Oryctolagus cuniculus: one gene and its partners. The main gene of each other region encodes a partner of the protein of the gene in region 5 in a complex. Links are inferred from orthologs where the notes say so. Each region holds a gene or a part of one and is shown on either strand. Other genes may lie near its edges.

What was found.
Region 1: CEP290 (region 5) and AHI1 share a complex: the UniProt entries of both Homo sapiens proteins name them as parts of the tectonic-like complex. The link is inferred for Oryctolagus cuniculus from reciprocal best matches to the Homo sapiens genes CEP290 and AHI1.
Region 2: CEP290 (region 5) and B9D2 share a complex: the UniProt entries of both Homo sapiens proteins name them as parts of the tectonic-like complex. The link is inferred for Oryctolagus cuniculus from reciprocal best matches to the Homo sapiens genes CEP290 and B9D2.
Region 3: CEP290 (region 5) and CC2D2A share a complex: the UniProt entries of both Homo sapiens proteins name them as parts of the tectonic-like complex. The link is inferred for Oryctolagus cuniculus from reciprocal best matches to the Homo sapiens genes CEP290 and CC2D2A.
Region 4: CEP290 (region 5) and TCTN1 share a complex: the UniProt entries of both Homo sapiens proteins name them as parts of the tectonic-like complex. The link is inferred for Oryctolagus cuniculus from reciprocal best matches to the Homo sapiens genes CEP290 and TCTN1.
Region 6: CEP290 (region 5) and TMEM237 share a complex: the UniProt entries of both Homo sapiens proteins name them as parts of the tectonic-like complex. The link is inferred for Oryctolagus cuniculus from reciprocal best matches to the Homo sapiens genes CEP290 and TMEM237.
Region 7: CEP290 (region 5) and MKS1 share a complex: the UniProt entries of both Homo sapiens proteins name them as parts of the tectonic-like complex. The link is inferred for Oryctolagus cuniculus from reciprocal best matches to the Homo sapiens genes CEP290 and MKS1.

The regions. Positions count from the first base shown.
Region 1 is NC_091436.1:33,446,153-33,449,652, forward strand, and holds part of AHI1 (jouberin), read left to right. Parts: intron 1-445; coding exon 446-1,008; intron 1,009-2,791; coding exon 2,792-2,973; intron 2,974-3,500. UniProt on the Homo sapiens protein: Involved in vesicle trafficking and required for ciliogenesis, formation of primary non-motile cilium, and recruitment of RAB8A to the basal body of primary cilium.
Region 2 is NC_091449.1:13,268,936-13,272,922, reverse strand, and holds the start of B9D2 (B9 domain-containing protein 2), read right to left. Parts: upstream 2,801-3,987; 5' UTR 2,573-2,800; intron 2,499-2,572; exon of another isoform or gene 2,277-2,498; intron 2,204-2,276; 5' UTR 2,200-2,203; coding exon 2,112-2,199; intron 1-2,111. UniProt on the Homo sapiens protein: Component of the tectonic-like complex, a complex localized at the transition zone of primary cilia and acting as a barrier that prevents diffusion of transmembrane proteins between the cilia and plasma membranes.
Region 3 is NC_091433.1:10,626,688-10,630,187, reverse strand, and holds part of CC2D2A (coiled-coil and C2 domain-containing protein 2A), read right to left. Parts: intron 1,054-3,500; coding exon 931-1,053; intron 1-930. UniProt on the Homo sapiens protein: Component of the tectonic-like complex, a complex localized at the transition zone of primary cilia and acting as a barrier that prevents diffusion of transmembrane proteins between the cilia and plasma membranes.
Region 4 is NC_091452.1:8,283,571-8,287,070, reverse strand, and holds part of TCTN1 (tectonic-1), read right to left. Parts: intron 999-3,500; coding exon 868-998; intron 1-867. UniProt on the Homo sapiens protein: Component of the tectonic-like complex, a complex localized at the transition zone of primary cilia and acting as a barrier that prevents diffusion of transmembrane proteins between the cilia and plasma membranes.
Region 5 is NC_091442.1:90,797,009-90,800,508, forward strand, and holds part of CEP290 (centrosomal protein of 290 kDa), read right to left. Parts: intron 1,125-3,500; coding exon 1,071-1,124; intron 497-1,070; coding exon 476-496; intron 351-475; coding exon 198-350; intron 1-197. UniProt on the Homo sapiens protein: Involved in early and late steps in cilia formation. Its association with CCP110 is required for inhibition of primary cilia formation by CCP110.
Region 6 is NC_091434.1:38,296,981-38,301,082, reverse strand, and holds the start of TMEM237 (transmembrane protein 237), read right to left. Parts: upstream 2,801-4,102; 5' UTR 2,153-2,800; coding exon 2,111-2,152; intron 643-2,110; coding exon 611-642; intron 42-610; coding exon 31-41; intron 1-30. Other genes in the region: MPP4 (MAGUK p55 subfamily member 4), read right to left, coding at 3,300-3,494. UniProt on the Homo sapiens protein: Component of the transition zone in primary cilia. Required for ciliogenesis.
Region 7 is NC_091448.1:33,633,795-33,636,562, reverse strand, and holds the end of MKS1 (tectonic-like complex member MKS1), read left to right. Parts: coding exon 1-36; intron 37-725; coding exon 726-859; intron 860-1,350; coding exon 1,351-1,433; intron 1,434-1,518; coding exon 1,519-1,616; intron 1,617-1,701; coding exon 1,702-1,793; coding exon of another isoform or gene 1,794-1,858; 3' UTR 1,859-2,268; downstream 2,269-2,768. UniProt on the Homo sapiens protein: Component of the tectonic-like complex, a complex localized at the transition zone of primary cilia and acting as a barrier that prevents diffusion of transmembrane proteins between the cilia and plasma membranes.

The DNA of each region.
Region 1 (3,500 bases), on a different chromosome or scaffold from region 5:
CCCTGAGCTATAGATTTTTTAAGTGGGGAGTGTAATTATGAAGCCAAATCAATGAGCTGGTACATTTTCTGTTTAGGAACTTGAAATATTTTGTACTTCGTGACTCCTTCAGCAATTTCTCAAGTATTTCTTAGCTAGATTAGAGTGTGGATCATTCTGCCAATGAGGAAAATAGCATTTGAGAGTTGAACAATTAATTCATTTCTGAAACATCCATGTATACTTTCCCCATGTTAATAACTCACTTGATCTTAAGTTACTTTTAGGGTTTACTAATATAAATCTTGGAATGTAAACTATGAGAAATTTCCTCAAACGCTCTAAAACAGACTCATTGATTCCAAGTAAAAAACTCAATAATCTTCCTAATATAATATAAATCAAACTGTTCATGTAAGCAAACTATGCTTAGCTGAAAATTTGTTCTTGTGTCTTCTTTTCTTAGGCTGACGCTGTTAGAAGCAATCTTCAGAATATTAAAGAAAGTGAAAGTGGTGATGTAAAAGCTACTAACACAGATAACCCAGAGAAGGGCATGCGAGTCAGTAAAAACAAATTGAGGAATACTCAGTCTGCAGCTGAAAGTCCACATGATGATGCTAGTGTAGAGGAAGACAAGCAAGGAAAGCCGAACAGAAAGGCTGGGAAGACAGCGCCCCAGGTGACTGCACAGGAAATGGAAGTGGGCACTCCGGAGAAGAAGGCAGATTCTGCACATCAGAAAGCACGACCAAAGTCGCAGCCCGGTGTGGATCATCAGAAAAATGAGAAAGCCGAGGAGGGGCGGGAACATGCCGATGTGGAAGAGGAAGAAGAACTGATGCAAGCGTATCAGCTCCAGGTAGCTGAGGAAATGGCCAAGGAGATTAAGAAGAAAATAAAAAAGAAACTGAAAGAGCAGCTGACTTACTTTCCTTCTGATACTTTGTTGCATGATGACAAGTTAAGCAGTGAGAAAAGAAAGAAGAAAAAAAAGAAAGTTCCAGTTCCATGTAAAGCTGAGACAAGGTACTTTGCATTGATAGCCAGAAATTGTCTTCTTGAGAAAACTGTTATTTTCAACTGAAGAGTGATACCTGTATTAAACAAAAGAGCATTCTTAGTCTTTGATTAGTTGACATTGCACTAAGATAGTGACAACTGATGTTCTAGGTAGCACCTCAGAGTACTCAGTTCTTTGCAAGAGTTAACTCATGTATTCCCATAAGTGAAAGTCATATTTTCACTCTGTTTGCTGTGAGGAAACTGGGGTTTAAATCACAGAACTAGTAAGAGATAGAGCCAGAAATTTGGTAGTCTAATTCCAGACTCCACCCTTAACTATACACTTATGAGTCTGTCTGCTTTTAAAATAATAGAAACCTAATTATTTCCAGCTTTTTGAGTTATAGATGTCTACTTGGATATATAAATGTGCCTTCTCTTGCTCAAATAACATTTTGTTATTGGAGCACAACCATCCAAAGATAATCAGTATTAACAATTTGATAATCTAGTCTTTTTCTGTATATGCTGCTCTTACATATATGTGTGCGTGTGTGTGTGTGTGTGTGTGTATTTGATATGGATTTATATTCATATTTATAGGTTCTCTTCTTGTAGAAAACATCAGATAAAAATGTCTTTTAACTTCCATAATTAACATTCTCCCCCTGCAATCCTAATTTAGAGAAACAACTTGAGGTAGGACCATTTTAAAGTGACTATTCCTTGGCATTACAAGAAAATTATCCCTAAGGCCCTTGGTTAAAAATAATTGCCCTCTCACCAAAAAGTAGATCAATTGTAACAAAGAGAAGGTAAGTCAGGTTGCTACAGGGACATGTTAGTATCTGTTTTATTTTTCCGTTGCTGCATTAAAAAATTACTGCAGAATTTAGCAGCTTAGAACACCAAGCATTTGATTGTGTTACTCTTTGTATGGGTCAGGATTCAGAATGACTAGATTGGGTGCCTCTGACTCTCAAAGGATTGTCACCCCAGCAATCAGGATGTTGGCCAGGGCTCAAGTTATCTCCAGCCTTGACTAGGGGAGGTTCTGCTAAGTGGCACAACTGTCAGAAGGCCTTGGGGACAATCCAATTCTACGCTCATGCATGTGGCAGTTGGAAGTTCCCAGTCCTGACTAGCTTTTTGCCACCTCTCACCTCCTTGCTACTCACAACATAGCCACTTGCTTCCCCCAGAGTGAGTGCTCTGAGAGAGTGCAAGCAAGACAGAAGTCACGATCTTTTTGAAATCTGATCTTAGAAGTGACATCCATTTCTTTGGCATATTCTGTCGATTAGAAGGGGGTCACTAGGTCAAGCCTTCACTCAAACAGGAGAAGAGTATACAATGACGTGAGTATCAAGAGGCAGCAATCAGCAGGGCCACCTTTAGAGGCTTCTACCATGTCTAGCTCCTCCACACCCTCCCAGTCTTTTAAATAAATAAATAAGTAAATGGAAGTTTTTTTCATTTTTCAGTTTGTTCTTGGCAGCAGAGTGAAGATGTTTTGATCACACAGATCCATTGCATATAAAATAGAATTTTCTCCTATGGTTTTGAGCCTAGTTTGAGTTGGCTCACAGGCATATAACTCTTTTACAAGAATTACATAGTGCCTATGATACTTAGTTTGGCCACTAACAATTTTAGTGTATAATAAAATGTGGTATGCATCTCCCAGCAGAAAATATTGACTTTGAAATTGTGTTTGCTTCTATGCACTGGTCATTCTCTTATAAAGTGAATAGTAAGTAATATAATAATATATTTGGAATGGCTTATCCTTGGATTTTATTTACAGTTCATTGACCATCTCTAATGACCCAGATGAAGGTGAACAAAAGAAGGAATCTCCAGTTGAAGCAGTTACTTCAGATTCTCATCAAGATGATGAAATAAACTCAATGGAACAAAACACAGAAGACAACATGCAAGAAAACATAAAACCTAAGCCCAAAAAAACAAAAAAGAAAGTTAAAGCAGGTTTGTTATCCAAAGTAAATGAAAAATTGTGTACCTTGGTAGAAACTTAATTTTAAGAAGCTTAGACCTTATAACTAAAACTAAAGGATATAATTGAAAATAACCCAATATAGAATATTTAGCACTTTTTCTTGGATTTGTCTAGATTAAAACATTCATTTATTTGTAACTGAGTCTATGGTGAGTTATATTTTTTGATTTAATTCAACTCAAGAATGATGTTGACTTTGTTGTTGCTAATGTGACATAGATTTCTTCTTTAAACCATTGAGTTTAGAGCCCTAAATGGTTAAGACACAGTTGTTGAAAGCTACAAATAGTCAACAGCCATAAACCTTTCAAATGTTCAGGCTACATCCCTCAGGCCAGCATAGTAACTTTGCAGTTCCTCAGCTATATTCAGTTTCTCCTTCCTCAACTTTCCTTTTTGCCTCTTGCTTTCTCTTGTCTTTTTTCTGATTACTTTTGTCTTACTTTACTTATTGTTGCCTTGTTAATCACTTGTTATATCTTTTTTATTTCAGTTT
Region 2 (3,987 bases), on a different chromosome or scaffold from region 5:
GGGAACACAACCCATGTCTCCTACGTAAGCGGGAGGAACCCAGTCACTTAGGCCATCCCTGCTGCCTGCCAGGGCTGGCATTAGCAGGGAGCTAAGCCAGCAGCCAGGTGTGCGGCGGGATGTGCAGGTCCTAACCCCGAGCTAAACACCCGCCCTCTATAGCCATTGCCTCTCTCTCTCCCCAGCACTGTCGCCACTGGAAATCACTGAGTTAAGTTTCTTCAGCGGCTTATATAGTGTCTGACGCTCGTAGAATGAGCTTCAGGAGAGCTTGGCCCATGCACATGGCGGGATCCCCAGTGCGTGGTATACAGAAGGTGGTCGATACATATTTTTTGGGACAATTAAGTGACCCTAGAAGCTATGTGTGCTATGATTACCATTTTCCAAGTACAGAAACAGGCTCTGAGAAGGAAGTCACTTGGTTAATTATTCCATGAACATTTATTGAGCACCTAGGGTATGCCAAGCCTGTTCTCCACTCTGGGGATACAGCAGTGACCACAGCACCCAAAGATCCCCAAGCGCAGAAGTCTGTAAAATGTCCAACTGCAGCGACCAGGCCCCTCGGCCACTGTCTCTGAGCTCCCTGCTGGATTCAATGCCCCAAAGCCACCTGCGATAATAAAAGCCAAGCATGACTCCCTCTGGCCTTGGTGAGGGAAGCCCTGAGTCAGGCTGCGTAGACACAAGATTACTTAAACAGCCCCAAGAAAAGGACAGCAGCCCGGGATCACAGAGCAGGTGAGTGCTGGGGTCCCGGGTAGACATGGAGTCTGACTCCTGAGCCCGACTCTGATCCTGCGACTTCACCCATCCAAGTCAGGTCCAAGGGACCCAAGCCCGAGACGCAGCCACGTCTACCTCATAGGTTGTTACTGGGGCTGGGCAGCCACGTGCCTGGGCTTCACTAATGGGACCCTGTCGGAGTCACCCGCGAGCCAGGCACACAGCACCAGCCAGCCCTGCTCTGCGTGCTGCGCATGCTCCCCTAGGCCTGGCAAAGATCCGCGAGGCACACGTTGTTACTGCTCCCATGTGCACACAAGGAAGCAGACGCACAAACAAGGCCCTAACGTCACCTATTAATAAGAGGCTGTCTACGGTGCCAGCTTCCCACATGGGCCCCATTTGAGCCCCAGCTGCTCCACTTCCGATCCAGCTCTCTACTATGGCCTGGGAAAGCAGGAGAAGATGGCCCAAGTGCTTGGGCCCCTGCACCCACGTGGGAGACCCAACAACTCCTGGTTCCAAATTCGCTCAGCTCTGGCCGTTGCAGCCATTTGAGGGATGAACCAGCGAATGGAAGACTCTCTCTCTCTCTCTCTCTCTCTCTCTGCCTCAGCCTCTGTAACTCTGCCTTTCAAATAGATAAATAAACCTTAAAAAACATAAACACCTGGTTAGGACCCAGGCAGTCTGTGCTCCTAACCTCGACGCCACACCGCCTCTCAGCTGCTATCCACACCGTGCCGTTCCTCTCAGACAAGGAGACCGAGGGCTGGAGAGGTCAAGTCCAGAGGCCACAGATACATACATGGGGACTTAGTATCTGAACCCAGATGTGGCTGCCTATGACCCTGGCCATCACACTGCACCTCTACAAGGTCTGGCCTCCATGCAGACCTACAGAAACACTGGGTCTCCAAGTCCCTGCTGGGCCGTGTGGACTTGGATGATTGCTGCCTTCTCAGAGCGAAAGGCATTCTGACGACAGGATGTGGCCTCTCCTCTGTAAGTCTGGGGTGCAAACTTCTACTTTACAGTAAGAACTCAATAAATGGAGGCTGCTAGTCAAAGAACGAGAAAGCTGGGGAGGATCCCAGGACACACCCCCAAGGCAGCAAGTGGAGTTAACAGGAGCGCTCTGACATGAAGCGTGTGGATGGGGTCTCCCCCTAGCCCATCATCGTCAATGGCCATGCATGCCGAGGGTGGGAGCCAGGGTCCCCGGAGACGGGGCAGGAAGGAAGTGCGGGCCTCACGCGGCCAGCCTTGGCCAGGGCCGGGAGTGCTGAAAGCCCATGGGGAGAGGAGGACCCGGGGTGGGGCGGAGGGTCCAGGGAGAGCGCGGGGTCTTGGTGGGCAGTGACCAGGCCTGGGGGGAATACCTGTGTGGATGCCCCACTTGCAGAAGAGGCTACTTTCCGAGAACCCGGTGGCCCCCATGATCTGCCCGATCACGTGCACCTCAGCCATGGCGCTGGGAGGGAAAAGAAACAATCAGCTCTGAGTAGGGAAACTGAGGCCCAAGCAAGGGGCAGAAGGCCACCAACCTGGTTTTGTCAACCCTCTGAGGATGCAGAGTTATCCACCGACTCTGTCTCCCCGGGAGATGGGGGGAGTAGCCCTAGACTTGGGAACCGGTGCCTAACTATGCCCTCCTTAAACCTCTTCCTGACCTGGCTAAGTCCCGCTAAGGGGCCGAGAGCTCCACCCACAGCCATCAAAGCTCCGCCTCCCCGCGGCTGATAGCCCCGCCACAGGCTCGACGACGCATGCGTATTGAATCGAGGCCCGCCTCCGAACACCTCGGCCCCGCCCCTACTCGTTGCGCATGCGTCACTCCTACCTCACAGAGCTTAACGGCTAGTGGGAGCGAATGCGGCAGCCGGATGCTGGTTCTGGGCCGACTCCGTCCTCTTCGCGGGCGCCAGCGACGCCGGCCTCGCGCCTCCCGTGGGACCTCCCTGACAGCAAGGGCGCTAAGGCGCGAACCTCCGCGACCGCCCTCGCCTCAGGCTCCCTGGCCGTTGCTGGGACAACAGCAGGCTCCTCCCCTGGCCTTGCCCCCGCCCTGCACGCGGCCGATTGGTGCTCGCTGTCCTCGGGGGCGGGGCAATGCCGTGATGGACATCTCTCCGTAGCCTCTCCCAAGCCCCGGCCCCGGGATCCGCCGTTGGGGGCGTGGTCGGGCAGTTGCCATCTTGAGTGTGGCCGGGAAGTTTGAGCGCCGACTGTTTGTGCTGCAGAGCCTCTCCAGGAAATGTGTCAAAATAAGCTTCGCGGCCCGCCTCCTCCCCCTAAAGAACACCTGTCTCCCGTCCTGAACCCCACATGAGAGACTTGAGCCTGAGCTCGGGGGAATTCCCTCGGGTCATTCTGTGCATCCCCCGGCCTCGACTTCGGAAACAACCTCTTCTCAGACACTCAGAGGCTGGGGCGGGGCTTCCCTTCCCTTGCGGAGTTCCCCAGGCTGCTCAAGGCCCAGCGGTCCGGGCCCTCCCAGCGACTGCACGTTCGCCGCCAGTGCTGTGAGCGAGCGGCGTCCCCGGGCCCAGCGGTCCGGGCCGTGGGGCGGGTGCACGCGGGCGCCTGAGGTCCTGAGCGCCTCTCCCCGCCTCCGCGTCCAGGGCAGCCTGGTCCTCAGGACCGGGAGTCCCGCCCAGCCGCGCCTCCTACCGCGGGGGCTGCACACGTGGAGGACCGGGGAGGCAGCAAGGTGCACAGGACAGCATGCACACAGGTAGCGCCATCCGAGAAAGAAGGTTCCTGACAGACAGCTGGGAACGCCACGGTCGTGCGTGCCTGCTCCGTGCAGCCCTGGTAACGAGGACTGCAGGGCGTCAGGTCCTGGTCCTCGCGGACACACGGGGTGGGGTACACAGGGCTTCTGCTTCATGAAGACTTGAGGCCAGCGTCATTTGCATCTATTCCCGTTTGTCCCCCATCAGGGTGAATGACAGCACCCAGCTTGTGGGATTGTTCCAGACTGAAGGAGTCACCGTCTATGGATGTCTTCAATAGGCCCGCAGGGGCCGGCTTGGTGGCGCCTGCACCTCAGAGCGCCCGCTGAGTCCCAGATTCCTGGGGTGCGTCTGAGCAGACAGCAGGCAGTGGACTCAGGAGCTTGGAGGGCGGAATGCAGCACGCGCTCCTGGCTTTGAATTGGTCCAGGCCCTGATGTTGCCCCCTCTGAGGAGGTAACCAGCAAATGGCAGATTTCCTTTTTCATTCTCTTCTCTCTCACCTGGCACTCTGCCTTTT
Region 3 (3,500 bases), on a different chromosome or scaffold from region 5:
TCATTATATTGATTCATTTTAACTCCTAACATTCTAGCATGTAGCAATTTTTCTCCTGTCATTCCAGTTCACAAAATCTTGTATATGTCATCTTCTCACATACGGTAAAATTTCTCTAGGGCAGTATTTTTTGAAGTTTTTTTTTTTTTTTTTAAAGGTTTGATACACAGATGCATGTGTATTCTGATTTGTTTGATAGGAAGAAAAGTTTTAGTAAACAACTCAGGCTTACCACTTACCGTCTTCCACTGGCCAGGACCCTCTAAATTATAAGCCTCTAAGGGATCATATCTGACATTTGATTTCATGTTTGATTAGCAGTCATGAAACTGAATTAGCAAATTGATCACCATTTAAAAAAATGGAATATATTTTGTGGTATTATGGGAATTTTTTATATCAAAACTGTTTGACATTAAAATGCATATTGATCTTTTCACATCTACATAAAGACATATGAGGAGCTCAGGTAACTTTGAAAAACCAATATGGTTGTAGACTTACCCAGGAGTGGGATTAAGGGGAAAAATATAGCTACATAGTATAATACACTTTATTTTCTTTTCTATATTCTATTATTATTAGTAAAAGAATTATACCTGGAGCAGATGCTGTGGCATAGTGGGTAAAGCTGCCACCTGCAGTGCCAGCATCCCATATGGATGCCGGTTCAAGTCCTGGCTGCTCCACTTCCAATCCAGCTCTCTGCTATGGCCTGGGAGAGCTGAAAAAGATGGCCCAAGTCGTTGGGCCCCTGCACCCATCTGGGAGACCTAGAAGAAGCTTCAGACTCCTGGCTTTGGATTGGCCCGGCTGAAGCCGTTTGGGGAGTGAACTAGCAAATGAAGACCTCTGTCTGTCTCTACCTCTGCTCCCTGTAATTTGGCCTTTCAGATAAATAAATCTTTAAAAATAAACAAAAAATTGTACCTGAACACTGGAAAGGCCAGGGTATGGAAGGCTTCTTGAAAAGAAAGATTTCCAGAGCTTGGGCTTGGTAACATCAAAATTTATCCTTAGTGGAGAATCATATTGTTGAATATTAAACCAAACCTAAAAAAACAATACCATATTAGCATATATGTTAACCAAAATACACACACGTCTCTGGTGTGTGTGCATATTGTATGGACACATAGACTGTACATGTTTTCTTTCCTGACCCTGCTTTTCCAGCTCCCAAAATTAAATGTGTACCTCTTTGTTTCTACAGCCCTCCGCACCTGTCTTGTTGAGGCAGTGTGGCATGTTGGTTGTGGAACTAGACTACAAGCACTTGAATTTTGACCCTAACACTTTTCAATTGTCTGACCTTGGATGATTTATCTAACTTTTGTTCCTCAGTTTTCTCATCTATAAGAATGGAATAATAACAACTACTTCATAAGGCTAAGCGATTCAGAGTTGATTTACCTGTACTTATTAGAATAATGCATAGATATGTAGTAAGTGCTCAATAACTATTAGCTGTTCTGTCATTATTTGTCAGTTTGTAACTGCCTGGTTATTTATCTGCATCTTCACTATTGTTTTAAACTTTCGCCTTGAGAATGTTCACCATAGGCGTTACTTGCCATTCAGTCTTTAGCACTAGCTTACCTCGTGGCATATTCTAGTCATATTGAATGATATGTCTAGCACAGATTAAGTTTTCATCTAACTGGTGTTCAGTCCTAGGTTTATTAATCGGGTTAAGTAGTGAACGAAACAGTTCTAAGGAGTATCTAGGCCGGCGCCACGGCTCACTAGGCTAATCCTCCGCCTGCGGCGCCGGCACCACCAGGTTCTAGTCCCGGTCGGGGCGCTGGATTCTGTCCAGGTTGCCCCTCTTCCAGGCCAGCTCTTTGCTGTGGCCCGGGAGTGCAGTGGAGGATGGTCCAAGTGCTTGGGCCCCGCACCCCATGGGAGACCAGGAGAAGCACCTGGCTCCTGCCATCGGATCAGCACGGTGCACCAGCCGCAGCACTCCGGCCATTGGAGGGTGAACCAACGGCAAAGGAAGACCTTTCTGTCTGTCTACTCTGCCTGTCAAAAAAAAAAAAAAAAAAAAAGTATCTAATGAGTAATGAGATGATATATCGGAGGCAGGCATTGCAGCACAGCAGATAAAGCTGCCTTTCCCATAAGGGCACCGAATTGAGTCTCTGCTGTTTCACCTCCAATCCAGCTCCCTGCTAATGTGCTAAAGCAGCAGAAGATGGTCCAGGTACTTGGGCCCCTGCACCCACGTGGGAGACCCAGAAGAAGCTCCTGGCTTCTGTCTGGCCCAGCTTTGGCTGTTGTAGCCATCTGGGGAGTGAACCAACAGATGAAAGATCTCTTGTCTCTCCTTTTCTAACTCTGCTTTTCAAATAAAATAGAACTTAAAAAAAAAAAAAAATGTGGGGCCAGCATTGTGGGTAGAGCCACTGCCTGTGATGCTGGCATCCATATGGATGCTGGTTTGAGTTCTGGCCGCTCCACTTCCAATCCAGCTCTCTGCTGGTGTGCCTGGAGAACAGTGGAGGATGGCCCAATTCCCTGGGCCCCTGCACCCACGTGAGAGACCTAGAAGAAGCTCTTGGCTCCCAACCAGCTCAGCTCAGGCTATTACAGCCATTTGTGGAGTGAACCAGTGGACCAAAGAGCTCTCTCTCTTCCTCTCTTTCAAGTAAATAATCTTCAAAAAGATACAGCAAACAAATCAGCAAGTAAGTACATGGGATATAGATGGTGTTGAAGGATAAGATAGATTGTATCATTAGCTTCAATTCTCTTCCTCTATGGCTATCTTTTTTCAGGTTACTTTGCAGTTGCTTCCATTAAGAAAGATGAGAAACACTTCCCTGCCACTTGGCTTTGGTTTGTTGTTGTGTCACCCCTGAGTCTAGGCTAAGGGGCTTTGCCCTGTTGTGCCTCTGCCACTGTCAGGGCCCTGAGTTCCATAGTAAACATGAAGCAGAGCTGCTCAGCCGCAGCCAAGTTTCCCAGCTAACCCACAAATCTATGAAAATAGATACTTGAAGCCATTTAGTTTGGAGTTGGGTTTTTACGATATTATGATAATAATTAAATGTGCACAGGCCATGGAGAAAACTAAGTTGCAGGAACAGAAGAAATTTTGATGGGCAAGGAATTTTTCCTGGGGGAAAAAAAAACCGACATTTGATCAGAAATGCAAGAAATGAGGGAGAAGTTTGTGAATCTAATCAGTAAAGGTGGGAGGGGTATTGGGAAGGCATTGGTGGTCATTTATGCAAAGGAAATAGCAAATGCGAAGTGTGTTTGATTGTTGAATAACAAGGAATACAAAGTGGCTTTAGAGGAGTGGGCACGTTGGAAAGATAACAGCAAAGGAAGGGGAGAAGGCAGGGGTAGGCAGGGTGGATGTCAGATCAAGGAGGCTTTGTAGGCCATTTTGAAGGTTTTGGCTATGATGTATTGGGAAGACAGTAGAAGAGTGACAATTTGTCTTCTGTCTCAGCAGAAATTTGCTTACTGTTTGAAACTAGAAAGAAGTG
Region 4 (3,500 bases), on a different chromosome or scaffold from region 5:
GGGCTCAGCCTGCTTCTGGAACGAGGGGGAAGCAATGGATTCCAGTCCTACAAGATAGATCACAGCACAAGAGCTAACTCCTCTGGAGCCCACGGGCGTGAGGCTCTGCAGCAACTCCACGGGGCAGCTGGCCCAGAGTGCTACACACAGAGGAGCCAGGAGCAGGGAACGGGCTGGTACGTTCACCAGACTGGCGTGATGCAGAGACACTGACCCTCACTGGCTAGTCATCAATCCAGACGAAAAATCGCCGAGCATTCATGTAAGTTTTCAGTCACAGGGGGACAAACCAAAATACACACAGACATTCCAAAAAGACAGAATTTAACTGATAAAGCCGCAGCTGTGTCTCCGGGCTCTGACGCCTTGGTAACATTTTACTCTCACATGTACTCAGGATTTAGACCTTCTCTGAGCTAAATGCTCAGATAAAAATAAAGATCCTGTTTTCATGCAAATATTCTTAGTAAAAATAAAAAAGAAAAAGGAAATAGAAACCACAGGTACTGTTCAAAGCTGAACCTAATTTTCACCCATTACACCAGGAAGAAATAAAGTGAAAAAAAGAAAATCACATGTATACATATTAAATCCAGATTCCATGTACCTATGTCCACATATTATAAACATGTTTGAAATTAAGCAAAAAATTTCCAGAGACAACTAACAAGCACAGTCACTTTTAAAGAAAACATGGTGCCCAAAGCTCTACAAGTTACTTGCAGATAACTGTGGAATAGCCTCAGAAGGTACACATTCTACCCACACGGTTGCTTTAATCTAAAAGAGCAAGATATTTTTCCATAACATAACTTTGAAAGAACTATATTCCAGAGTTTCACAAAATGCATCAATCCAAATACTTACAGTTTGTAATATGAACGCAGAAAATAGATGGATTGACCTGGTCGACAAGTTTAAATATCCTCTGAGGTGGGTTTGAGGTAAAATTCAAGGAATAGATGGCTGCCTTTTGACTACAAAACTGGCTATCACCCCTGAAAATTAAATATAACAACATCAAGTGTGAAGGCATGAGCACACAATCTCAGCACAATTATTTAAGTGTCATGCTTGCACTGTCCTACGTTAACAGTTATAGGGAGGGTAGTTATGAAAACAGCTTGGGGCCGGCGCCATGGCTCAATAGGCTAATCCTCCACCTTGCGGCACCGGCACACTGGGTTCTAGTCCCAGTCGGGGCACCGGATTCTGTCCTGGTTGCCCCTCTTCCAGGTCAGCTCTCTACTAGGGCCTGGGAGTGCAGTGGAGGATGGCCCAAGTGCTTGGGCCCTGCACCCCATGGGAGACCAGGAGAAGCACCTGGCTCCTGCCTTTGGATCAGTGTGGTACGCCAGCCACAGCCACGGCGGCCATTGGAGGGTGAACCAACGGCAAAGGAAGACCTTTCTCTCTGTCTCTACTCTCACTGTCCACTCTGCCTGTCAAAAAAATAAATAAAAAAAAAAAAAAAAGAAAACAGCTTGGAATTTTTTTTTTTTTTTTTTTGGACAGGCAGAGTGGACAGTGAGAGAGACAGAGAAAGGTCTTCCTTTTTCCATTGGTTCACCCTCCAATGGCCGCTGCAGCCAGCGCACTGATCCGAAGCTAGGAGCCAGGTGCTTCTCCTGGTCTCCCATGCGGGTGCAGGGCCCAAGCACTTGGGTCATCCTCTGCTGCCCTCCCGGGCCACAGCAGAGAGCTGGCCTGGAAGAGGAGCAACTGGGACAGAATCCGGCGCCCTGACCAGGACTAGAACCCGGTGTCCCGGCGCCACAGGCGGAGGATTAGCCTATTGAGTCGCGGCACCACCAGAATTCATTTTTTAATTTATTTGAGATTCAGAGAGACAGAACTCTCATCTGCAGATCACTCCCCAAATGGCCAAAATGCCCAAGGCAGGAGCTCCACCCAGGTCTCCTACGTGGGTCACAGGGACCCAGGGACTGGAGCCATCACTGCTGCCGCCCAGAGTGTGCATCAGCAGGAGGCTGGGTCAGAAGCTGCAGCCAGGGATTTGAACGGGTCCTCTGTCACGGATACCAGTGTCCGGAGTCCTAACTGCGAGGCTAAACGCCCTCTCCGGTCCATTTCTATTTAATTTCTTAAGTGTTGAAGTGTTTGGCATTTGAAACTTTTCTCTAACAAAAAAAAAAATCAAGATAAATATGATAACCTTTAAGGAGCTCTTGTCAAGTATAAAATACAGATAAGGGTATAATGAACCATTAGACTTTGAAAAAATCAACTACACAAATTTTTTGTGCAACTGTTTGTACCCAAACAAACCAAAAACTCCTTGTCTAGAATAAAGCTGTCTTCAAAGGATTGTGGGAACAAAATGTGAAGTCATTTGGAAGGTTTAGGGCTTAGAAGTTAGGGTACAGTCAAGTCCTCAACCAATCCTAGATCTCACAAACTATAATCAACTGAATAGATACAGACATGGTACGGAGAAGAGTCATGGAAGAAATGGAATCATATTCTACAAACTGCTTTAAGTCCTTTCTCATTTAATAATGCCAAATTATTTCCCAGGTCATCAAACATGTTTTTGCAATATTATATTAAATGGCTTCATCATATACCAGCTTATTCACCCAACATGTTCAAGCAATCCGCTACTGCTGGTTTAGGTTGTTTTTAATTTTCCCCACATAACGTTATAATGACATAATGTTATAATGACCTCCTTATACAAACATCTTTATAAATGTCTCCAATTATTTCCTCAGGATATGCTACTTCCTGAAGTAGAGTTGCTGAATCAAAAGGTAAGAATGGCCGGCACCGCGGCTCACTAGGCTAATCCTCTGCCTTGCGGCGCCGGCACACCAGGTTCTAGTCCCGGTCAGGGCGCCGGATTCTGTCCCGGTTGCCCCTCTTCCAGGCCAGCTCTCTGCTGTGGCCAGGGAGTGCAGTGGAGGATGGCCCAAGTGCTTGGGCCCTGCACCCCATGGGAGACCAGGAGAAGCACCTGGCTCCTGCCATCGGATCAGCACGGTGCGCCGGCCGCGGCGGCCATTGGAGGGTGAACCAACGGCAAAGGAAGACCTTTCTCTCTGTCTCTCTCTCTCACTGTCCACTCTGCCTGTCAAAAAAAAAGAAAAAAAAAGGTAAGAATGGAGGCTGGTGCTGTGGCACAGCGGGTTAAAGCCCTGGCCTGAAGCGCTGGCATCCCATATGGGCACCGGTTCTAATCCCGGCTGCTCCACTTCCGATCCAGCTCTCTGCTATGGCCTGGGAAAGCAGAAGAAGATGGCCCAAGTCCTTGAGCCCCTGCACCCTTGTGGGAGACCTGGAAGAAGCTTCTGGCTCCTAGACTTCAGATTGGCACAGCTCCAGCCCTTGCAGCCATCTTGGGAGTGAACCAGTGGATAGAAGACCTCTCTCTATCTCTACCTCTACCTCTCTCTGTAACTCTGCCTTTCAAATAAAATAAATCTTAAAAAAAAAAAAGTGGGACCGGCGCTGTGGCACAGCGGGTTAATGCCCTGGCC
Region 5 (3,500 bases):
AATATTTAAGATAAGCACATATAAAAAGAATAAATCAAGAACTGTTATTTCCAGGAGAAGTTAACAAGTTTTACAAGTATATAGTTGCAAGTTTATACTACAGAATTTACATGTAGGGCTAAATACTAGAGCGGCAGTATAATAAAATTAAAGTTTTTACAAGGCCATTTCCCTGAAGTGACTTCTACCCACTTTACCTGAATTTCATCCAGATACTGGACAAGTTCATAGTTCTTTTTAGACAACTGAGATCGATAATCACTGTCTTCTCCTCTTCTTGATAACAGTGTTTCTTTTTGTGAATCTATTTGTTTTTGGTAGTCGATAATATCCTGACGCAGCTGTTCATTCTGAAGGTACACCAAGTGCAACGTTGAATTAAGAAACTACCCAGGACAACAAATTGCATTCTCTAACTAATGTTCTGAGAATATACCTTTACATTCCCAAAGTTTCACTACCCTTAGTGTCTCACCTTTTTCTTTAGACGTTTGTTCTCCAGAAAAGAACAGGAAAAAAAGTAATTAGAAATGAGAGAAGCAATAAATAACTAAAAGTAATAAGGGAATTAAAGGAAAAAAGAGAAATTTAAGAGAATGAAATATATTATTTTAGATAACCAAAAGTGTAAGACTATTAATTATCATCCAAAACAAAGAACATTTTGTTTATGTTAAAATTATAAGAATGCCTATAAGAGTAAACAATGTACAAATAATATCAGGCTCAGAAGAACCAAATAATAAATTTTTAAAGATCTCATGAAAAAGCAAAAATTGTTAAACAATACTAGATAAAATGAGAGAAATAAGAACAGAAAATCAGTCATATTCAGTTAGCAAACAGGCAAAGAATGTTTATAGATCAGAAAGAAAGCTTTGCTCATACAGATTTAAAAGATAAATATGGTACTGAATAGTCTCATGTTTTATTTACTAATTCCTTGAGATGAAGTTATATCACAAAATCACTCATTTTGAAAATATCACTTAGAAGACTCCAGTTCTGGTCACCATGTAAACTTTTTTTTTTAAGAAATATCAGTGGAATCACTACAATTTTTTACCAACCTCTCTTCTTAATTTGCTGTTTTCATTTTCTGCCTCCTCATTGCGAAGAGCCAACTAAAATAGTAAAAAAAAAGTGAATAAGAAAAATTCAGCAATAATTCAACATAAAGTCAGGTTTTCAGCCAGTTAGTTTATATTCTAAACCCTCTCCAATAAAGTAAAAAAAACATTTAACTTCTAAGGACTTCTATCAACATAAAACATAAATAATAAGTCAATATTTTTGAAAACTAAGGATTAGGAAGGATAAACACAGAAAGAAAATTACACACAAAGAAATTGTAGGGGCTAGTGTTGTGGTGTAGTGAGTGAAGCAGCTGCCTGCCACGCTGGCATCCTATATGTAAGTTGGTCCCTGTCTCAATTCCTCCACTTCTGATGAGGCTCCCTACCAACCACCTGGGAAAAGCAGCAGAGGATGGCCCAGGAGCTTGGGCCCCTGCTATCCACATGGGAGACAAGGAGGAAGCACCTGGCTCTTGGCTTCAGCCTGGCCCAGTCCTGGCCATTGAAGCCTGATGAGGGAGTCAGCAGATAGAAGATCTCTCTTTTTTCTCCTTTCTGACTCTTCCTTCTCTCACTGTAATTCTGACTTTCAAATAAATAAATAAATCTTTTATTTGAAAAAAGAATGAATTTTAACTAAAAAATATAGAAGTAAACAAATCATTGTCCCCAAAGCACCTCAAAACTAAAATGAGTGGTTGTCTGTAAAGATCTTTATATTTTGTTGTTCTTGTCTCATGGCTAGAATACTCTTGCTCTCAGTGAATATTAAATCAGAAATACGAAGTAATCCAACATAATCATTAATAGAAGTCATCTGAAATCAGATTGCACTAGGTTTATATCCCTGGTCAATCAATTTCTAGTAAAACATGAACAAGTCACTTCATCTATTAAATCCACTTTTCCTATCTCATCTCAGATCAGCACAGCTCCGGCTGTTGCGGCCAACTGGGGAGTGAACCATTGGATAGAAGACCTCTCTCTTTCTCTCTCTCTGCCTCTCCTCGCTCTGTGTAACTCTGACTTTCAAATAAATAAATAAATCTTAAGAAAAAAAGAAGAAACCAATGCTGCCAACATCTGCACTTCACACCCTCAGTTTTCAGAACTGTGACAGTAGATTTCTGTTATTAAACCACACAGTTTATGCTAAAAAAAGTTAAAATTATAATTATGAAATAAATGCAATGTAAGACTTGGAGTATATTTTCTAAGCTCCTTTGATTGTCCAAGAATATTATAGAGATCTTGATTAACATAAAATTTTAAGTTGAGCAAGCATATAAAAATTATGAGTAAATAATTTTTATGAGCATATAAGAATTATGGGGAATGAACCAGCAGGTGGAAGACCTCCCTCTCTTTCTTTCCTCTGCCTCTACTTCTCTCTTTCTCTGTATAACTCTAACTTTCAAATAAATAAATAAAATCTTTAAAAAAATAATTAAATAAGAAGTATATAAATTTTTTAGCATAATGCTCAATGAATGTAACAGCAAAAACTTAGTGTGTTGTTTTCCACACAAAATTGATTTCACCATATCCATCCTTTAAAAAAGGTATTGTTTCATAACCATAATATAACTAATATGCCAAAAATTTTAAAATTGATTGAATAATCTTGTCCATTATCAATTTTCCTCTGTTGTCTCAATAATTTCCTTTGTAGACTCTTAATAATAACCAAGCTTCCGCAAGGCTCACATACTGATGATTCTTCATCATAGACTTTAAAATACAGTTTCATGGCCGGCGCCGCGGCTCACTAGGCTAATCCTCCGCCTAGCAGCGCCGGCACACCAGGTTCTAGTCCCGGTCGGGGCGCCGGAATCTGTCCCGGTTGCCCCTCTTCCAGGCCAGCCCTCTGCTGTGGCCAGGGAGTGCAGTGGAGGATGGCCCAGGTGCTTGGGCCCTGCACCCCATGGGAGACCAGGAAAAGCACCTGGCTCCTGGCTCCTGCCATCGGATCAGCGCGGTGCGCCGGCGGCAGCGCGCAGGCCGCGGCGGCCATTGGAGGGTGAACCAACGGCAAAGGAAGACCTTTCTCTCTGTCTCTCTCTCTTACTGTCCACTCCGCCTGTAAAAAAAAAAAAAAAAAAAAAAAAAAATACAGTTTCATACCATAATTATCTTATATTCTTTTTAAATAAAGGATAAAATAAGAAAAAAGAAAGGTTGTAAAGGAAATTGGTTTTAGTGCATAGATTTTAAAAATCTAAATTATTGTACTTGTGTACTGGAGAAACAACTAGAACAACAACTTGTGGAACAACTGTGCATTCTTAGAATCTTCTGCAAAATCAAAAATAAATATTAATGAGATCTTTTATGAAATAGTGCAGCAAATTTAAAGAGAAACCCCAGTGCCTGGGAAGGCCTACCAAAAGTCATCATGTCAGCTGCTTTAATATACTAAATGTG
Region 6 (4,102 bases), on a different chromosome or scaffold from region 5:
TTTGATAATTTTACGTAATAATAAACTTACCTTGAATAGCACTTCATATAATACCGACCAAATGTAGTCAGCAGGAGAAAAACAAAAAAAGAAACCATTAATTACAAATCTACTTAAAATTAAATTTAAAAATAACTGAAACCATTATATACTTAAAATAAAATCAGCTTTCACACAATGTCAGCCAGGTTACAAACTAGCTTATTATTTGTGAGAACTATACCATGTAATACTACTAATAAAATAACCCCAACATTTTCAAGACCCACATACCCATATTCCCTATTGTCTATAAGAAAGCAGATTAGGAACTGTTATTTGTCACTCACTATAATCAGCTTAACCTCTCAGGAAACTATTCTGGCAAACAAAAGAGGATTAGAATTCTACTAACAAGCACGGATCTCCCCCAGCACACCACGGTGACAATCAGGCTTTTGAATAAAGGAGAACATTCAGTTACAACTGCTATCCTCAGGCCCCAAAGATGCTTTACCTTTAAATTTTTGGAAGTTTCTTCTGAATCATACTTTCTCAACACTACACGTCAAACATTATTCGCTTTATGTTTCTAAAGTTCAACAATTAAGTTACTGTCAATCATGTTTACCTTGGTACAGGTGGAAGAGCTCGTGGAGGCCGCTATGGGGGGTGGGAGGGAGGAAGAAAACTGTGGATAAGTAAAAGCCTGGGCATCTTCATGTAATCTCAAATACCCTTAAGTTCTTTCAACAGCCTGCTGTTCAGAGTGACAGAAAAATCTGATGGGCCACCGGTGAGGGCACCCTGACGGGTAATGGTAGAATCAGGGTTAAAGGACAGTAAAGGCCAAGCACACGCCCCAGGGTCAGAACAACGGAAGGAGTCTGGGTTTTGTTCTAATTCAACAGGAAGCCAATAGAAGTTTTCCGCCACTTTGTAACGTGCGCAGCAAGTAACAGTGCCACAGACAGGATTTTAGGGCAGAAAGGTTGATATGAATGAGAAAACTCGTGTTAGCAGTGCAGACAGCACTGCAGCTAAGATGCATTCTGGAATCCTTCAAAATCAACAATTTAAGGGTCCACGGATCTCGCTACTTGCAGGAGACAGCGCGGTTAAATTCTAGATACTAGGAGTTGGTCTCACCCAGCCATCCTTCTGTTCAAATAGTACATGAATGCAAATACTCCAAGATCCAGGACAAGGCTGACTGTCTTAATCCTATGCAGTGGTCAAACATTACACTGGAAAGGAGTCGCACGAAAGCGCCGCTGTTCTAAAGATGCTACGAAGCGCGTTCCAGCCCAAGGTCCAGTGCACTTGCTAACTCCCTCATTCAAACATCCCGCAAAAATGACGTTTCACCCACAGCAGAAACCCAACCTCTAAGCCCCTCTAAAGCAGGACGGCTCAACCCGAGACAAGAATCCTAACCGCTCAAACATAACCACCGCTCGCTTACCACCTGCTTCTTCCCCATTCTGTCTAAAGCCGGGCCCGTAGGCCTCCGGCCCCTGGGACGTGCGGCGCCACCCCCGCCCGCCCGCCCGGCCGCCCGCGCAGGCGCAGTGCGTCATCGGGCTGCGCGGCCCAGGCCGCTTCGGGCCCGCAGACCCCTCGGTGGGCTGTAGGGCGAGGGGGCTGTGGGTACCGGGGCCGGGCCTGACCTCTGCAGACTGGCCGTGCGGGAAACTGGGCTTAGGAGCCTGGGCTGACGGGCCGAAAGCAGAGGCTCCGGCGGCCGTGGGGCTCCAATCACGGTTTCCCCAGGGTTTGCTGTGATTTGTCTGCGGGGCGTGAGGGAGGACCTGGGTTTAAAAGCTCCGCAGCCACAACGCTCTCTTTCCGGGCGGAAGGCCCGGCGCTCCCGACGGAGCCTGGAAGAGCCGCTCGCTGGCAGCCGCGGAGCCCGCCCAGCCGGGGCGGCGGCGGACGGAGGCTGCGTCGTGGCAACGCGAGCTCAGGCCCCCGGACACTCCCGGCCAGCTCCGGGGTCCAGTAACGGCCCACGGGGCCGGGGCCAGTAGGGCAGGCCGCTGCTGCCCCCCACCGCTGGCCTCTGCCCCGCTCCGAGGGCTGCTGCTGCCCCAGGGGACCCTCGTGGCCGCCGCGCTCCCTCCCCACTCACCGGGCGGCCCTCCTCCACACGAAACCGCGAGTCGTCCCTCATGGCGATCGCCCCGCGGGGCTCCCTCAGGGCAACGGCCTCGGCCCGAGCCGGGCTCCCCGCGCCGCGCCGGCCTCCGGGACCTGCGGGAGGCGGCGGCTTCGCAGCGCCCGGCGAGACCGCTGACGCCCGAGCCGGGTCCCCGCCCGCCTCTGCTCTGCCTGGCCCCGCGTCTCCGGGCTCTGGGGTAGGGAGGAACGCCCGGACGCCCCGGGCTGGACACTCCCCGGCGGGACTCCGGGTGGGCGTGTGTATTGAAATAATTCTCACACCGTCTCCGACAGTGCGTAATAAACAATTGAAATAAACAGTTCTCACAGCGTCTACCGACAGTGCGTAAATCGAATCAGAAACCTTCTCAAAGAGCCACAACAGAAAATTAAATCAGCCTATCTAAATATCGTTTAAAATGACTGCATTTTCTGTTTTATTTGGATATTTTTAGAAAGGGAACTTATTTTTAAGTTTAAAAAAATGAGTCATTACATGCTTTATAGAAAGCGATGGGAGGGCTGGAATGGGTAGGGTGAGAGAGTGATGCAGAAGATGAACTGATAAGGGGCCGGGAGAGCTACTGGGGGGTCCCAGATACAGGGGAAGAAAGAAAAAGACCCTAGCATAGCATCCTCATCTCGTGGCTTTCTTCTAGGGACTATGCAGGAGACTTGCGGTATCTCAGTATCTCGAGGTGTTGATGTTACCCATGAAATGTGTACATTAACCTTTCTTGCTGAGTTAGCCAAGTAGATACTTTGTGTAAAAGGCATTCACAAAACAGAAGTTTCATAAAGTGCATTTCCGAAATTAAATACTGCTCATTTTATTTAGGAAAGCTCCTTTTAACTGAATCTTGGAAAGACCTGAAGTCCCTAAGAAGCGCTCATTCTTGGTGACGTTATTGATATGCCCACCACAACCGCATCGAAGGGGAAGGAAAAGAGAAAGGTTTCCCTAAATGCCAAATGTGTCACTCTGCACAGCCTTGCAATATAATACAGAGCCATACTGTTGCGATACTGTTAATGAACTGCAGCACTTATCCAGTTGCACACACTAACATGGGTCAGTACTGCTGTTAAGACAGCAGCTGTTATTCCAGGTCTCCCCGACAAGGCTGCAGCGCTAAAACTCCAGCCCGAAGCAGGGGACCTCATGAAGACTCGGTGTCGGAGGAAATCCACGTGGCGGGGACCCACTGAGGCTCCTCCTGAGCCTTCTGTACAACAGATAACAACCGGGCACACGCATCTTGCAAGTTGTCATTCACAATCACGTAATCAAAAAACTGGCCAAACTGAGCCTCCATTTTTTGGGCCAAATCCTCCATCTCTTGTAGGTCTTCATCCTTCAAATGAAACAGAAAAAGGCAGGTAGCACGGACTTCATGAGACAAATAGAAATAATACACGCGGATGCTGTCACATTCGTTGTGAAGCTATTTATTTAAAAGCAAGTAGGCTAGATGTTCGAAATGCGAACATCAATTTCAAATGAAAGTGAATAAGAAAAATATGACTTTGCAAATACAAAATGGCTGCTTTTAGCATGAGAGTGAGACCTGGCTATGTCGACTTGGACGTCCCTAACTCACTGTAATATTTTCTATTTCTACTATTATGAAATGTTCATTCTGTGAAGGCATTTGGCCTTCACTGGGCATTAAAACATTAAATTAATTGCTGTTATTTTAATGTGTCCATGAGCACTCAAAATACAAATTTTGCTGCAATACTCCCTTAAAAGGTGACCAAGTATGATAGTGACCATACATATGATAGTGAAACAAGTTTGCCATCAAAATGAGAACACAATTTTAAATGCCCCAGTGACTCAGAGAAGTCAGCCCCAGACTGTATCTGAAAGGCAAACTGGAGAATCAGACTTTCGTAGTCATTGAAAAAAGTAGGAAGATAAAAGTAACAAGATGGAGGATGATACAAAGGTGACTTGAGG
Region 7 (2,768 bases), on a different chromosome or scaffold from region 5:
AAGGCTACGGGGCTGTGGTGCTGCCTGTCACCCCAGGTAACCTCTCGTCCCTGTGCCAGAGGCTGTGGGTCCTGGGGCAACACTAACACTTCCAAAAGGTGTGCGTGTCTCTCATAAGCAGCAGGGTCATAAGAGATGAGAAGCTTCTCCTGTGAGGAATTGCTGCCAGTCCGTTGCAGACATCTGAGCAACAGCAGAGCTAACTTCTGCAGCTGAGCAGCCTGGCCACCTCTGTTCTCTGCCCAGCGCTCTTCCGATGCAATATGGCCTTGAGGAAGAAGCTGCAGGGCGATGGGCCCTGAGTGCACACACTGAAGGGATCTGCAGTCATTCTGAAATAAAAGCACTGATCTTTTATGGAGTGCAGACCCTGAGCTAAAGGCTTCTCAGTTAATTCTTGTGGCCACTCTGTGGGGCGTAGGTCGTCATCTTTGCATTTTACTAGATGAGGGGAAAGAGGCTCTGGGAGGCTCTGAAACTTTGTCCTTGAGTGTACAGGTCACAGACGGCCCGGCCGAGATTTGCATTTCCGTCTCACTGGTTTCCACCCAGGTGCTCGTCACCACTGTGATAGCCCTCACCAGAGGCTAGGCCGTCACGAGCCCTGACATTTCTTCCTCCATCACTGCAGGTCTCAGTGGTGCAGGCCCGTGGCATTGCTAGGAGTCAGAGAGGGGCCATGTACCCTTTCGGGACCTGGCCCCACTCCCTTCTCCCTTGCACAGGCTCGTATACCCTGACTGTGTCCACATGGAGGCCAGTGGAGCTTGGCACGCTGGCTGAGCTCAGGAGGTTTTTCATCGGCGGTTCTTTGGAACTGGAGGACCTGTCTTATGTTCGGATACCAGGAACCTTCAAGGTGGCTTTTGTCTGAGGAGACCCCATGCTGGGAACTTACACTCCTGTCTCTCTGTTCTCTGGAAGGCAGAGTCTGGGTTAAGGCCCCTTGGTCATCATTGCGTCCCATTACTTAGCGCTTGCTTCCTGTGACTTCCGCTGGAAGTCATGGCCATGTTTGGAACCAGGTGGGGGATCTCTTCTGCTCTCCAGGAGATCCCTAGAAAGGAGTGCCCTTGGAGCTTTCCCACGCTCCTTGTGGAAAACGAAGGGCTCAGTAATCAGTGGGGGAGGAGTGGCAGGAGGCTGGCAAGGCTGCCTAGTCTCAGAGGAGCTCTGCAGGCTCCCTGGTCACAGTGGGGCAGCCGGTACTGGCCCTGAGCTGGTGGGATAGGGTCTCCCCGATGGAAACGGTCTTCCTGAGAATGAGAATCAGAAGGGCGGCAAGGCCAGTGTGGGGCCCCAGGTCCAGAAACCTCAGAAACCTGATGCTGTCCCATCCGTATGTCCCAGGGGGAGCGTCTGAGCCGCTTTGGATTCCGCACTGAGACCACAGGCAGTGTCACCTTCCGCTTGCACTGTCTGCAGCAGTCCAGGTGAGTGGCCCTGGCCCTGTGCCTTGGGACTCCTTATCCCTGGGTGCCGGGCAATGCCCCAACCGTGAGGTGGGCTTCCTTGCAGGGCCTTCATGGAATCAAGCTCCCTGCGGAAAAGGATGCGGAGTGTGTTGGACCGTCTGGAGGGATTCAGCCAGCAGAGCTCCATTCACAATGTGCTGGGTAGGTTGCCCTCCCCAGCTGGCCGCCCAGGGCCATGTGGGCCGTGTTCCTGCCTGTACCATGGCAGCGTCTCCTTCTCCTGCAGAGGCCTTCCGTCGAGCCCGGCGCCGCATGCAGGAGGCCCGGGAAAGCCTCCCCCAGGACCTAGTGAGCCCCTCAGGAACCATGGTCTCCTAGCCCACCGCAGCCCTGGCCCACCATGCAGGAAGACACGACGAGAGAGGGGCTGGCACAGTCAGTGATCCTGTGGCCCCGTGTGGCCCCGCTTCACATTTCAGCAGCTGCAGATGGGCTCCACAGCAAGGCAGGCTTTCTGGTCTGAGACTCATTTGGGTGAGCACACGGTCAGCCTGTTCTTGACCCAGCCTCTTGCACGGGCTCAGTGGTAGGGAACAGCAGGCAGTTCCTGCCCACAGCCTTGCAAAATGGAACCGATTTTCTTTCAAGAAACAGGAAGGAGAGACTTAAACCACTGGCCCCTCAGTCTCAGCCGCCTCTTTCCAGCACAGCCTTCTGCTATTGCTTGGGGCTTATTGAGCTGGAGATGTGACTCATTTCATAAGCGAAGGCTGAGGGCAGTGCCTAGTCCCTTCTGTTAGCTGGGCAGTGTGTTTTTATTGTGCTTTTGTGCATAAAAACTTTTTTATATTGACTGATGTTCTGTGGCTGCTTCTCTGCTCAGGTCACTGGCATGCCTGAGGGGTTCGTCTCAGTGCTGGGGCCCCTGCTGCTGTTCCCACTCTAGAGTATTCTTTGGACTCTCCATTCAGCCCCAGAAGAGGCCTCCAGGAGAGCACCAGCCTGCATCTTGGCAGCAACCCTCTTCAACATCTGGGGCGAGCAGAGGGCTGTGGCCGCGCCCTCCCTGGCCAGGCATAGAAACGGCAGCTTTATGCTTAGCTGTCCTTTATTGGTAGAGGCAGAACTTGCTGCCCAGGCTGCAGGCTCAGGACTGTGGGACCATGTGGTCTCCCAGGCATGGGGGTGGGAGGAGGAAGTTTGGAAGACAGAGGAAAGTGCTGGAAGGCCTCAGCTGACTCTTGCTGGGCCTCAAGGCTCATGGCTTGGCTCCCAAGTCCTTGCATGTGGTGTTGATTCATAACCTGATGCCCAAGAGGCTCCAAGCAGGTGTGTTCGTTCCTGTGGGAGACC